Rhinolophus ferrumequinum: one gene and its partner. The protein of the gene in region 2 interacts with the protein of the main gene of each other region in a pairwise test. Links are inferred from orthologs where the notes say so. Each region holds a gene or a part of one and is shown on either strand. Other genes may lie near its edges.

The links.
Region 1: the proteins of CSDE1 (region 2) and HID1 interact in binary tests that used the Homo sapiens proteins (3 or more experiments, as listed by UniProt). The two-hybrid records come from large-scale screens. The link is inferred for Rhinolophus ferrumequinum from reciprocal best matches to the Homo sapiens genes CSDE1 and HID1.

What each region holds. Positions count from the first base shown.
Region 1 is NC_046304.1:50,084,041-50,091,453, forward strand, and holds the start of HID1 (protein HID1), read right to left. Parts: upstream 3,039-7,413; 5' UTR 2,907-3,038; coding exon 2,841-2,906; intron 1-2,840. UniProt on the Homo sapiens protein: May play an important role in the development of cancers in a broad range of tissues.
Region 2 is NC_046305.1:45,431,777-45,439,744, reverse strand, and holds the start of CSDE1 (cold shock domain-containing protein E1), read left to right. Parts: upstream 1-4,767; 5' UTR 4,768-4,892; intron 4,893-5,925; exon of another isoform or gene 5,926-6,038; intron 6,039-7,968. UniProt on the Homo sapiens protein: RNA-binding protein involved in translationally coupled mRNA turnover.

The DNA of each region.
Region 1 (7,413 bases), on a different chromosome or scaffold from region 2:
CTGGGAGCCCCTATCTCTATACTTTCCCCACCTCCCAGGTAGCCGTTACCCCCTTAAAGGGGCTAAAACTCATTAGAGCACAAAGTGGACTCACCTCTGACCTAAGTCGTCAGGCAAGTGTCCCCAGGGTAGCCCAGCCTGGAAACTAAGGAAAGTCCCAGCTATGGGAGCTGGCCTTGAACTTCAAGAGACTTTCACTTCCGCCAAATGGGCCTCCTCTCCTGGTCCCGCTGTGGCTTGGACACTTCAATTTGGTGACCATTACCTGACCATATCAGGTTAGCCTGATGCTACAGGTATTGGCCAGGATCACGGGGGCCTCTTAGGCTTCTGAGGGGCAGGACGTGGCTTAGCTCCTGCTTCAGTTACCCCAGCTGGGCTCCATCCAACCCAAGGAAGCTCTAAAATCTGAGCCAGTTTCTTCAAAAGTATTTTTGCTGGAGGTGGGCTGGTCTCCACAGACACTGAGCTACCCTGGTGGGAAACCCGGTATTCCTACCCTAGCTGTCAGGACCTGCTCAGGCCAGACCCCCCCACAGGCCTGGGGGACCAGCTGCACCTTTTGAACCTCTCTGGGGAGAGGAGGGAAGGACCAGCAGTGCTCCAGCCTGCTAAAGGTGACCTGTTCTGGAAGACTGTGTTACCACAGCAGGACTGTGACCATGGTATTCATACACACATACATGCACACACATGTAAACATGGACCTACCAAGTCTCATCTGGCTGATGGCAGAGAACCTCCAAACAGCCAGGCTCTAAAAGAGGGTCTCAGGTCCATGAATGTGCCTCCTCCAGGGCCCCACCCACCTGGGAAAGGCTCAGGAAACACAGCCCAATCTGCTGGCCCTCAGGACCAAGGTCAGGCCCAGCCCAGGGCAGGAAGAAAACAGGATGCAGTGCAGGAAGGTCGGGAAGGCCCAGCAGAGACAGCTCGGGCCCAGGCCATGGCAAAGGAGCTGGGTCAGCTTGTCTGCTGCTCAGAGCAAAACTAAAACTCCGTGTTCACAGCACAGCCTCTGAGGACCTGGGACTGAGGACGCCCGGAATCTCCTGGGGGCCACTGAGTGGCAAAGTCTGCAATGATCACCTGGGATCTGCTCCTTACTCCCAAACTGTCCAAGCCAGGTTACTACACAGGGCCCGAGGCTTCAGGCCCTGGGGTTCTTTCCCTCCATGTGGCCCAGGGCCCCTCCCACCTGCAAGGTCCCAGAGCTCCCTGGAAGGAGGCTCAGGCTGGTCTCTGGCTCAGACCCTGTTCTAAGCCAACTCACTGTAATCAGGCTCCTCAGGGAAACTGGACAGCACCACCACAGTCAGCTCCATCACGGTATTTGGGGGAGAGGGACTGGAGCAGGTAGGAATCTAGTCCACCCAGATCCTCTGGGACCTAGCTGAGCTGGTCCTGCTGGCCCAACAAAGGACCCTGGCAGCTGAGCCAAACCCTGTAGTTTATTTCTCCAACAAGGTGTTTCCCTCTGAAAGTAGGTAAACACAGGAGCCTCCCTCCCTCCCCTTCTGTGGCCCCACATCGAAGGGCTGGCCCACCTGCCCCCCACAGACCGAGAAGCCCCATTCCATGTCAGAACTAACCAGGAGCCATGGGGGAAACGGTGAGAAGTAAGGTCTGATTTCTCTCAAATGCCTTTCAGCTGGAGCTGGACTCCAGAGGCCCTGGGCACTTGCTGGCTCCTGACCTTTCTCTCATGGGAATGAGAGAGGGTGGGACCAGCAGTCTGGCCTCTGGAGACCAGCTGGCTGTGGGGAAACGGTTCCCTTGATCCCACTCTAACTGCCAGGAGCAAGAGAGAGCCCGGGGAGCCGCAGCATGGGAGTGGGAGTGGAGGTAAGAGGCAAGTCCTGGATGGCAGCAGAGCAGCATGTCCTGGCTCCCTTGAAAGTGGGGGATCTGGAAAGTCAGGGCATAGACTTAGTTCAAGGGGGGAGGAGAGAAGGGGTGGGCAAGGAAGCAGCCTTGCTGAGGCCAGGTCCTGCTTGTTGGGGCCAAGGAGATGGCCTCTGTGCCACGTGTAGACTCCGGAACGTGCAGCATGGACTATGCTGCAAGATCCCAGGCCCCACTCAGCAGGCCAAGGGCAATCTGGAGGTTTCTCGGCCCTGACCCAGACAACGGAGGGTACTGCAAGCACAGCCGTCCCCACCGCTGGGCCTCAGAGAAGAAGCCCCCTGCAGCGGGAGTCCCAGCTGGGAGACTGGACCCCACAGGCCTGGGAACAGGTTCCGTTGCCAGGCTGCCGCACTGCCCGCTACTCTTTGCACGTCCCCAGGCAGACCTGGGCCTTCCTAGCTGTGGGCATCGACCTGGGCCCAGCGAGGCCCCTGCCGCCGCGCACCAGCTGTTTCTCCGACCCGGGAGGGCGCGGGCCGGGCTTTGTTTGCGTTGAGTCAGCCGGGTCTGTGAGTCCGGGACCCGCGGGCACCAACGGGCAGGAGAGGATGAGGGAGGCTAATGGGTGGGTGGAGACGAGGAGAGGCTAGAGATGCAGGGCTGGAGGGGCGGAGGGGGTGGGGGAGGGACAGGGGGCGGACAGCGGCGGCGCCGGCTCGGGAAGTAGGCACACGTCAGCCTAAGGTGGCAGCAGCGGCTGCGGGGAGGATGTTCCCGAGAGAGGAGGCTGGAGATGGGGAGGCTAGGGCTCGGGATGGAGCCTGGGGCACAGGCCAAGGGATTCGGCTCCGGCCCTGGCCTCAGTGTCACCCTACAGGCAAGCCGGTCCCCCCATTTCAGGGCAAGCCAAGTTCGCGCACCACCCCCTGCCCCCGGCCCTGCCCAGCAACCAGCCCTGCAGGTGGGTGGGGAGGCTGGGGCCCCGGGCGCACCTGCGTCTTGGTGGTGAGCTGGATCACCGCCTTTCGGAAATTCAGCTTGGAGTCGGCCGACCCCATACCGTTGGAGCCCGTTCCGGCCGGGCCCCGACCCCGACTCCCGCCCCGGCCTGGGTTTGGGATCCAGCTCCAGCTCCGCGGCCCCCGCTGCTCTCGCAGGAGCAGAGCCGCACACCCCGCCCGCTAGCCCGGCGCCGGCCCCGCCCCTTCTTGGCTCCGCCCCGTCAGGCTCCGCCCTCCCGACACCTGCCGCGTTCCTCATGGTCCACTCCTGGCCCACAGATTCTGCCCTTCCGACCCAAAGCTGCCGCACGCCCTTCTCATCCTGACCCAGTGCCTCTGCGCCCTTCCTTCAGCGTCCTAGCGTTGTCCCTGCTCCACTCCCCCATTTCCATCCAGCCCCAGGGCCCACAACCCGCCCAGCCTTCCGTCCCCGCCCCCATCCTCACCATTGGTCCCCACGCCATCACTGGGTCCACACTTTCTCAGCCAGCCCATTCCCTTGGGTTTCTTCCTCGTCAATCCCTGTCCAACTTTTTCTTTTTTTCCCTGAGCATCTGCTCTCTTGGTTCCCCTTTTTCTGACCTGTCAAACCCACATGTCCAGACAGCCCCTGGCTCAGCCATTCGCTCTGCGGAAGGGAAGCTGACTTAGTGCCCCTGCTCCAGGAAAGCAGCTCCCGGCCTGATGACGGCGGGAGGTCCTTCCGGGTCCCACAACTCCTTTCTGGATGCCTGCCTTCCATGAAAATCCTTTTAGGTCCATCAATTTCAACAAATGTGTTGAGGGATTGACATTTAGCAACATTGTGTCAGGCACAGGGGCATAGGGGCTGAAATCACAGTATCTGCCTTTTATGAGCCGTTAGCTAGGGAGAGAATCAAGAAAGTAATCAGCCATGGTTCAACCCAGTGAGGCTTTGATAAAGGCAGATTAACAATAATAATAAAAATAATATAATGTGACGACAATATCTCTAACAACAAAAACCTACCTCTAAGGTAGGTATTATCCACATTTTACACTTGGGGAAACAAAGGCTCAAAGCATTTCAGTTACTTGCCCAAAGTTGCACAACTAGTAAGGAACAAAGCCAAAAAAGCCTATTTAACTCTGGCCCCAAAAAAGGCTGCACTTTTCCACAACGTCATCTTGCATGCTATGTCTGGAAGCTTCTGGAAATCCTAGATGCTTCAAAAGGAGGTGACACTTAGCTTAAAGAGGAATTCCACGGGTGAAAAATGAGGGATGCACTATTAGGCTGCAAAAAAAGTGACACAAAGGCAGGGTAGGACAGGTGTGGAGGTTGGGAGGAGGGGGACAGGTTATCACCATGTCACCCAGTGAGCAGACTGGACAGGATAGCTCTGTCCTTGCTGCAGAGGTGTGTTTTCCCTGCCCTGGATGAAATCCTGGGCAGGCTCAATGGCTTTTCTAATCACTTCGAGATAATGAAGGGTACCTTTATTTGGTGTTTAAAAAGAAAATTTCAGTCCACTTTACAAATCACCCAGCCCTGTTCCAGCCCAGAGTGATGTTAAAAATTCTGAATCTTAGTCTTTAGGGAGATACAAATGGAAACCACAACACGATAACAATTATATACCTATTAGAATGGGTTAAAAACCAACAAGTTAAATATACAATTACTATATGACTCAGTAATTCACTGGTGGTATTTGAAGACAAGAAATGAAGACAAAAAGCCTGTGTAATTGTTACAGCAATTTCATTCATAATCACCCCAAATTGGAAATAACCCAAATGCCCATGATCTGGTGAATAAGCAGATTGTGGTTCATCCATACACAAGGACTAGTAGTCAGCAACAGAAAGGAACAAGCTGCTAGCACATGCAGGAACAATGTGCATGATCTCCAAAGCATTGGGCCAGACACAGAAGGCCACTGTATTATATCACCTATATGACATTCCAGAAAAGGCAAAACATTGGAAAAGATACATCATTGCCATAGACTGGGAGCAGGATAAGGGGATTGACTACCAAAGGGTATGAGGAAATCTGGGGGAGAGGGTGGTGATGAAAACATTCTGTTTGATTGTGGTGGTGGTGGTGGTAGTGGTGGTTCCAGGACTGTATATGTTTGTCAGAATTCACATAACCACCTTAAAGGGGTACATTTTACTGTATATAAATTATACCTCCATAAAGTTGACTTTAAAAGAACAGAAACCCAGAGCAGGTGCTAACTCGCCATTTCAGGGAAGTAATTGCGAGCCCTTTGGTCTCGCCCAGCACTCAGAGCCGTTTCTGTGGTTTGCAACCAGGGACTTCAAGTGCCACCGAAATATTACTGGTAACTCATGGACCTCGCTTGTCCCATCAGTTTTCATGGGATAGATTCAAATGAGTCCATTTATCCTCATCCAACCTCAGGGGGTCTTCTCCCATTCACTGGGCATCCTGCTTCTCAGAAAAATCTTAGTGTCTCTATCCAGAAAAATTTACAGGATCCCTGTGCACTCTTGCCCTCATAGCATGAGGGAGAAATGTTAACATTGCCTTCAGGCACGTGACTGCTAACACATCTAAGTGGAAAAATACCCGTTTATCCCCACCATTTGTTTACTGTCTCCAAGTTAAACGTACCACCCTCCCTAATTCCATCAGCGATCATGTTTTTGAAATGCTGTTGGTTATTTTTTAATGAGGCATATTGAAGTGTGTAGAGAGAAGATGGCTTAATAACTAGGATTTGCTGTAAAATATTGCAGCAAAAAAAACAAAGCAAAGAACAATGGGGGAGATGAAGCAAATGTGGCAGAATCTTGGTGATTGTTGAATCTGGGTTGGGTACGTGGAGATTCACTTACTAGTCTCTCTACTTTTGTGCATGTTTGAAAACTTTTGTAGTGAAAAGTTTTGAGAAAAAAGACTGGATGTATACAGAAAAAAATATTAGTAGTAAAAGAGAGCTTTTGAAAGTTTAAAGAAATTACCATTATTAATTTGATGATTCCTTAGTAGGTTCTTAGCTAGGATTTCCCCGATGGAAAACATGCCCTGTCCTCCTTTTATGCCCAACAGAAAGGAAGAGTCACCATTCCATGGCTCTCACAGCCCTCCCTGGAGCCTTTGTTTTCTGAATGGAACCATCAATCACGCAACAAACATTGACTCAGTACCTACTAAGTGCCAGGTACCTTGCAATGTGCCAGGGCCTGAGCGGCAAAGATAAATTCCCACGACCGAGAGAGAGGGAGACACACAAGGCAACAATACAAGTAATAGAGAGTTATGGGGTCAAGAGTGGGAGTCTGTCCAGAGCCCTGAGACCTGGTGGGAACAGGTGAGGAAAGACTCGACAGAAGGAGAGGTTGGGCTGAGGTTTGGAGGATGACTAAGAGTATCAGTTAGGGTCTCAACAGGAAACGGATGGAACGCTTAGAGGAGTAAGCAAAGAGAATTTAATCTAGAGGTGATTTACAAGGTGAGGGAAACCAACAAGGGCTGTGAAGGACTCTGGGGCCAGAAGCAGTGGGGAGCCTCGGCCATCCTTCAGCTTGAAGGGGCAAGGTGCAGAATGATTGCCAAAACCCAGAGGAGGAGAGCCCAGCTGTAGGAGAGGGCAGACAGGAGCGGTGGCCTCCCAGGGTCTGGAAGGTAGGGTGCTATTGGATAGATACTCCACCTTCACTCTTCTCCTGTCCCCTGATTTCCAACTGGTACTTCCCATCAGTGGACCCACAGACATCAAGAGAGCAAGGGACACATGCTTGCAGCCCACAAAAGCTTCAGCCTCCAGGGCTTGGAGCAGATGGAGATGATGAAAAGAGATCTAAAAGGGCAAATGGAACATGTCCCACCTCCAGGCGGTTGGAGCGAGTGGAAGGACAGACCGGAAGTGTAGAGAGTGTGATAAGACTAGGGAATGGAAACACCTAGTTGGGGTGAAATGCAGAGTGACAAGAGATAAAGCTTGAGAGGCACACCAGGACCAGAGCATAAAGGACTGACTGCATCCATCCTGTGCAGGGGCTTTTACCTTATTCTATGAGCAATAAGGAGCCTTTGAAGCTATGTCTTAGCAAAGTCATTCTGGCTGCTGCAGGAAAGATGAAGTGACCTGAACACAGGGAATCCAGCTGGGTGACAAGGTGAGAGATGATTAGGGTTGAACTGAGGCAATCACAAGTGGGATGTCTCTTGTCACCCCCATATCCAATCCATCACCATATCCTGATGATGTTATTCCCCAAACATGTTCCCGGCATCCCCAGCACCTAGCACCAGCCTAGCACACAGCGATTATTTATTGGATGAATGAGTGAAGATAACTCCTGGAGGGTCATAGAAGATGGAGTTACTTTGGTTGTCCACATCAGTCAGTAAGAACAACACATTTCACCAACCGTTTCTCAGATTCATTTTTCAGTACTTTTAGGAGCCTTTCAGGGGGGGCAGGTAGATCTGACCTGGGGTGGAGAAGGATGAAGGAAGGCCAAGGGATATGGTTCTACCACTGGTCCTTTGTTCATCCATTGTGTACCTACTATATGCCTGCCCTTAAGAAGCTCTCAGTCTGACGAGAGGCGGGTCGAGCAC
Region 2 (7,968 bases):
GTTCCAAAGCATCCAGGTCATGAAAGACAAGGAAAGACGGAGGAACTGTCATGGAATGAAGGAGATTAAGGAGACACAACTAAGTGCAGGGTGGAACCCTAGATTTGACTCTGGAAGAGAAATGGAGTAAAACACAAATTAGTTTTGTAGCTTAGTTATAACTATATCCAAGTTAATTTTCTAGTTTTGAAAATTATTCTGTGGTTAAACATAATAGGAAACTGAGTGAAGAGTTTATGGGCACTTTCTGTACTGTTTTTCCAGTTCTTTTGTAACTAAAATTATCTCAAAACAAATATGCATTCCTGATTACTAATGAGGCTGAGCATAATTTCAAATGTTTATTTCCCTGTACAGGTTTTTTTTTTTTAAATATAGACATTTAAGTCATTCTGCCTTTTTTCCTTTTCCTTTTTCTTACCGATACATATTAATATATATTCATGATATTAATATGTTGTCAGTTTTATATGTTGCAAATATATATTCTGGTCTATTGATTTTTTTTTTTAATTTTATTGGGGAATATTGGGGGGGAACAGTGTGTTTCTCCAGGGCCCATCAGCTCCAAGTCGTTGTCCTTCAATCTAGTCGTGGAGGGCGCAGCTCAGCTCCAAGTCCAGTAACCGTTTTCAATCTTTAGTTGTAGGGGGCGCAGCCCACCATCCCATGCGGGAATTGAACTGGCAACCTTGTTGTTGAGAGCCCACACTCTAACCAACTGAGTCATCCAGCCACCCCTAGTCTATTGATTCTTAAAATATTTTTATGCTGCCTCTTAATAAATGGAATTTTAAAAATATAGTCAAATTTATTACTAAAAGGAAAGAGATTCAGAAGAGTTGGACTTTGTGAAGAAGTTTTAGGAATATCTTAACGAATTAACTTTGCTTATTTTTTTTTTTTTTACTTTATATACACATGAGTGTGACACATGATAAAAAAAAATCTAGGTCTAAATAAGTTTAAAAGAGCTCTTAATATAAAAATTCTAAGTAATAAAAACTATTATGTCAGTGAAAATGGCAACATATTTTCTCCTGGCTGGTGCATCAATAATGTATCATGAATCAATAGTGCCCTAGATTTAATTATATAAGTGTAATTCATTCATTCAACGACTATTTATTAAGTACTTACTATTATGTCAGTCACGGACCTAGGTTTAGGGGATACAATGATGAACCAGAGAACTGAAGCTTACACTAATAGGAAGAAAGGCAACAATTAAATTCATTCATGTGTTAATTTTCAGTAGCAATATGTGTTACAAAGGCAATAAAACTAATGTTAAGCAAAGTAATGGTAATGGGTACTTTTACTTTAGAAAAGATCTTTGTGAGTTGGTAATATTTGAGCTGAAACCTGAAATGCTGAGAAAATGCTAATTATATGATGATTTGGGGAAAGAAAATTCCAGGCAGAGGCATTAGTAAATGCAAGCGTTCTGAAGAAGGAACAAATTTGCAATGTTGGAGGAACCAAAATGGCAGTGGAACTGAATTACAGTGAACCAAGGGGTTAGAGACTTGGTGAAGACTACGTCATTTCCAGCCTTGTAGGTCATGGCAAGAGTTGAGATTTTATTCCAAGTACAATTGGTTTTCATCAAAATCTAATTTAAGTTTAATTAAAAATATTCTTTTGCTTCACCCTTCCCTCCGGCTGTTTCCCAGAGCTAAAATGTTATGGTGATTACTTTTAGTGCAGCAGCTTAGCATATCCACATAATTCTTCCATTACGTGCAATGTTGACATTTTAAAGGGAAGCATTATACAAAACTTCTCCATTATTCTTATTTAAATTCTAACATTTTATTACATAATTGTTATTCTTATTTATTTATATAATGTACTTTCACTGGGGGACTGTTAACGAATAAAAAGTTTTGGATTGTAGAGGTCTAGAACTAAATCTTATATACATTATTTTGTTAATAATTATTCTTTATGAAAGTTTTTGCTTTAAATTGTTTTCCTGTCCTGAAATCTTGAATGTGGTCACTTTACCATCCACTATTACGATAATTTTATAAAAGAAGTTCCCTTTAACTTCCCTAAACAGGAAGGACATAATGTCAGAATAAAAAGTCCTCAAAATCTTGAATAAATGTAGCCTTCTTTTTAAAAAAATCTGTACATTGACCTAATTATTCTCATTTCAGAGAACTGACAAAAAAATCACATGCATCACTGCTCAGGAAAACCTTATAAATGTGTAAAGGATGCTTACCTATGATTCTCAAATACAGAGGGTGCCAAAAAAAATGTATACACATTTTAAGAAAGGAAAACTGTATTAAAATTGTAATACTCAATATATACCGATAATTCATCAAAAGATGAATACAAGTCACGTTTGACTTCTGCAATTACAATAGGTGCTCAAAGTGGTTACCATCAGCGTCCAGACACTTCTGAGCTTCGTTGACCAAAGAGTCCACTGTATACATTTTTTTGGCACTCCCGTAGATGCCAGAAAAATGTGGTTATTGATCATTCTAGAGGAAAAAAACAATCAACTTTTCTGAAGTTTCTCAGAGAAGAAAAATTATAATGATAAAAAAACAAAAATAATACATGCAATTTTTGTTCTCATGGTGATTTCTTAATAGACTAAATATCTTCCCCAAATCCATGACTACCCTGTTGCATAGGAGCTGGTTCCCCAAGTGACTTCACAAATGTCTGCCTTACTTAACTTCAGTTTTTTTTTAAAAAAGTAAAAAGATAACTTTTTTTGTTTTTTAATTTGATTTCAAAATTAATCTGAAAAAAATTAAAATGTAGTGATCTGAAAATGAAACCTACCTCTAATTATGGGTAGCATTTGTAGAAATAAATCATTTAAACTAATGATTTAAATCATTACTCCATCATTTACTTTCTTTGGTGCATTCATTGGAAGCTAAAATGTATCCTTCTGGGTTTATATGTATGTATCTGCATTTTGTGTCAAATGTAAATTGATACAAATTATGGATGGGGAGGAATTTAAAGGAAGTTGAAACATATTCAGAATGAGGAGGATAAAGGAAGTTGACACAAATTCAGAATGAAACATTCAGATTGAGGATGGTTATATGGTTTAAGGTCTTTAGGAGCTACATGTAATGGCAGAAATCCAGACTTTATTCTTTCTTATTAAAAGGAATTGTATTTACAGAATTTAGTGAGACCATTATTTTTTACATTTCCCATTGCTGTGATATTTGAGAATGTGTGCTCTTAGACCTAATTCCACTTTTAGCCCAGCTTCGTATGACCTTGTTTCTAGAGCAAGAGCCCCAGGCAGTTTCTCTGGAACATTTGATTAGAATATCCAGGCTAGATCTATTGCTGGGAAGGAGAGATCTCAATTTAAAAATTGGACAAAGGAAACAAAACCGCTGGTTTGATAGGTTTATGTTTTGTACTCCCCCAACAGTACATTCCAATTTTTAACAACTTACTCTGATGTTCAGTGCCATTCATTCAACAAGCTTTGGAGAGCTATCTATGCCCGGCACTGTCAGGAATCAGGGATGCAAAGATGAAGGTCACAGGTCTTGTCCTAAAGTATCATTAGCTGATATAAACTAATAATTACAAGACAGCTATGAAAGCATTGAAAGTGACGCAAATGTCTTAAAGGAAAGCGTGGCAAAGAACAAAGAGGCAGCTTGGAGGTAGTATGGCAACTGAGGTGGAGAGAAAATCTTGGAACATCAGAAGTAGGATACCGCCTCCTCTCAGAATTCAAGATGATTTGCTTGGAATTAAAGGTTATATACTCGTAACACTGTGCACCTTTCCTTCATTACACTGTCTTCAAAGTGTATGTTTAGATTTGTTTTTGTGATTAATGATGTTAGACTGAAAGTTCCTTGAAGACAGAACCATGTCCGTTTATCTTTACTATCGTGTACACGCCAGTGATGACACACACGAGATGCTGAAAAAACGTGTTGAAAGCCAAAATACAATGAGTGGGTAGGAGAATTCTCAAAAGCGTGGCTGGTCATTGTGTTTATCCAATACTGTCAAGTGAGAGAGCCACAGAATCTACGATAAGCATTCCTCTCACCAGAAGGGACTGCTCTATTGTTTGCCAAGGGATAATTCATTGAACTTTTCTGCTTGCTTTTACACCGTTGGATGAATTATCCATTTGCCCTGATTTCAACTTTTCTGCTACTGATTCGGCCTATTTGATTGCCTGACACCCTGCGAATTATCTTCTGATAACCAGAAAGGTCAGTTAAAGGTTTTTCGGAGCGGGGGGCGGGGGGAGGTTAATGCTGTCTTGCTCACACTCTTGTCCGTTGCAAGCAATATAGTTTTTGGGAGACAAAGATCACAATTAAGACTTCCAAATTACCTTGCTGAAAACCTGACTTACCAATGAAAATTCCAGCCTAACGTAACAGACAAGAGAAAAAACTTGCGCTGTGAGGAAAAACTGGGGTTTGGGGATTCCTGTAATATCGCCGGGAAGAGAGAAATCCTTTATATGACATTCCTGGATATGCCCTTCAAATTGTTCCGCCCTCAAGGTTTACCCTGGTTTAGCAAAGCACATTCAGGTTTGCAAAGATCAGAGACGCCGAAAGTCACCCGACACCTCGCCCCTGGCGTCCCAGCGGAGTCAGTAAACACCAAGATTGCTTCCAGCAGCTGATGGACAAGAGAACGTAGTGGAAACGTAGCCACCATCTTGGTTATGGTTAAGCTCAGCGCACTAGTAAGCGTCACTCGGCCCTCATGCGCAAGCGTATTGGGAATACGCTCCCCTCCCCTTCCTGTGCACGCGCTCGGTGCCCGCAACTCTCGCGAGAGAAGCGAGATTTATTCCTACGTACCGGGCCGTGCTGCTTATGGCGGCGCTGGAGAGGGGGCGCTGAGCTGTTGGGGTGAGTACGATCTCAGGGTCCATTTGGGGGTAGTAACAAGCCAGGCTAAGGGCAGAAGAGAAGGCCAAGACTAACGGGAGAGACTTCTGAGTCAAGTTAGGCACTCCTAGAGCTCCGGGAAGGGAAAATTTCACCCTGAGTCCCTACCCCGGCCTTTCCCACCCGGCCCCGGTTCAGCTGTCTAGACCTCACGTCAGGCCGCAGAGCCGAACCGAAGAGTCGAGGCCAGGCGGCCGCGCGTGGTGGCGGTGGTGGTGACTGAAGGGGGGGAGGGAGCGAAAATGGAGGCTCCGACCGCAGCCAAGATGGAGGCAGGGGTGCGGGGCTCGGGCGCGGAGGCTGCTGGGAGTTGTAGTCTGGCCGCTTCCCCTTCTGCGGCTTGGCAGGGTAAACGGGAACTACAAGTCCCGGCGGGCGGGGGGAGGGGGTGGTGGCGCGGTCCTTTGTGTGAGGCTGGAAGAGCCGGAGGCAGAGGAGAGGGGCCTACTCTGACTGGACCCTATAGTTTCCTAGCTGTCACCTGCTTAGGGATCTGACTACGAGTACCAGAGCGCAGTGCGGCAGTGGCGCTTCCTTTGTGTATAGACTGAGACCCCGCTTTCTCTAAGTGCTTAGAGACACCTCTTTTCCCCAGCCCCATCTGGCAGAGTATCGCGGCGGAATTGTCATCCTTATTTCCAGTCACCTAGAGCTGTGTATCTTGGGTCTCTACACCCTACCTTCCCCTTTATGCTTCTCCTTTGGCTTCTTGAGAAAGGGAACCAGCCCCTAATCTTAGGTACGTGGCTCTCACCCCTCTATCCCGGGGTTAGGGCGTGCTTTGTGAGAGCTTAGTGGAGTCTTCCTCACCACCTTTCCTGGCTCTTAATAGTGCAAGAACCCGGCCTACATTGTGCAATGAATGGTTTGGCTTTGTCATTCTATTTAGAGTTAGCTTTTTAGAGCCCTGGTCGGAGACACTTCTTAGGTTTTTAACCATCCGATGTTTTATCAGTACGAAATCTCAGTGCCACGGTTCTTTTGCTTTAAGGTTTTCCTTTAGAAACACGCAGATGGCTCCTCTCGTTTGACTCAAGTGAGGCAGGGAATGCTCCATAAAACAGCCTTCAAACTGCAAACACAAAAATCTGAACGTTGTTGTTCGAGGTAATTTCCTTGTTTTGCACCTAAAGTGAGTGAAAGAATGTGGTCCTCTTTAAACAGCTGGGAGACAGGGTGGAGGGGGAGGGTGGGCGCCCAAAGACTGGTAGTTAAATCTGTCTCCTTTGGGAGAAAGGTTTTTATCAGGACGATGGGAACTGGCAGCTCTGGCCTAGAGCTACCGGTCTATAAAATGAAGGTACCAAATTCTAACTCACTAAGATAAGTTATGGGTCAAAACGCTGAGTGATTTCATTTTGAGTTTCTAGAAGGCAAACATTCTCAATACTACATTAAAAGGTAATATAATATGTTGGTGTCCTTTTGGTACTAACCTGTAATGGGTATTCTTGGTGTGGGTAAGGAGGCATGTGCCTGAGTAATAAAATCTAGATAAATATTCAACCTGTTTTTGTTTCCTTTTAGCCCTAGGCCCAAAATAAAAGAGGTGGTGGTGGTATGAGTGATTTTGCAGCTGCTCTGGATGTTTACCATCGAGATGAGTATTTATAGCAGCTGAGTTGAAAAGTAAAGTATTTGAGGCACAGAAGATAGGTTTTCTTTTTTTGTAAATAAGTTCTGGCTTAACAAATACGACCTTTAGAATATGGTTGAAAATTGTAAATTCCTAGCAGATCAAAAAAGAGTGTAAAAGCTAACATGTAGTCCTGCTTTATCCCACTCCTGTCTTACGCTCCCTTTATCTAAAGACATATGGTACAGGGCCATCCAACATTTAAAACAATATAGTTCTTTTAAACTGGTAAAATATAGCAATTTACCATTTTAACGGTTTTTAAAAGTGTATAGTTAAATGGCATTAAGTTCATTCATATTGTTGTAAAGAACATGCTTTTGATGAGGTAGTTGAAACAAATGCTATTTGGACAGATGTTTAAGGAGTTGAATTTTAGGACTGTATCACAAAATCAAATCTTGAGATCTTGTTAAATGAACAATTGATTTTCCTTTTCAGCTTTGTTTTTTTCAAAAAACAAAGGGGAAATTACTTTGAGAGCTTTGAACCAAATTGTCTTATGGAGAGCTGTAAAATTTGTAGGATTTTTCATAATAAAGAATTACAGCTAGAAGAATTGTAACTATACTTTTTTAAGGCTTCATACTTGAATGTCTTCAGTAGTGATACTGCTGTGGTGGGAGTGACTTGTTTTCTTGAATCCCATTATTTCTTTTAAATCATTTCTGTCAAATCGGGATTTATAAATTCCTGATATTAGAATTTTTGATGTGAGAATGTTTCCTACTTGCATGTGTAACTACTTAAAAAACAAAATAATACAAAACTTTCCTTTTAGTTCATACTGCCAAGCCTGAGGAATTCTATTGTACATTTTTCATTATGGGTATTACAAACTGAGTGTGATATTCTAGGCAGTAGTCTATTCAGAAATACTGAATAGTAACTTTATTTTTCGAGCATTTTTATAATTAACATATCCTTTTATTCTGATGTAAAATAGTGTGCGTAGTTGAAAGTAAATTGATCTTCACGTTGAATGTGTGAGCTATCCATTGGTTTGCAGCTACAGCTAGTACATAACCAGTTATTTGTACTACTGTTTTTTAAGTGTACTAAGTACAAACTTCTGCTATGGTCATATTTGTTAGATACTGCCTACCTTTGTATCAGTGAAAGTCTTTGCCCCAGGGCCTTACATTTACTTTTGCTTTATTAGGCATGTCAGTGCCTTTTTCCTTCATCAGTCTATACCTGCTCTGACCAGTACGGTAGCCACTAGCCATGTGTGGCTATTGTGCACTTGAACTGTGCGCAATTCTGAATTGAAATGTGCTGTAATTGTAAGATAAACATTGGATTTCAAGAACTGTAAAAACATCTCAATTTTTTTAGATTGGTTGCATATGAAAATTGGTAACATTTTGGATATATTTGGCTAAATAAGATACATAGTTA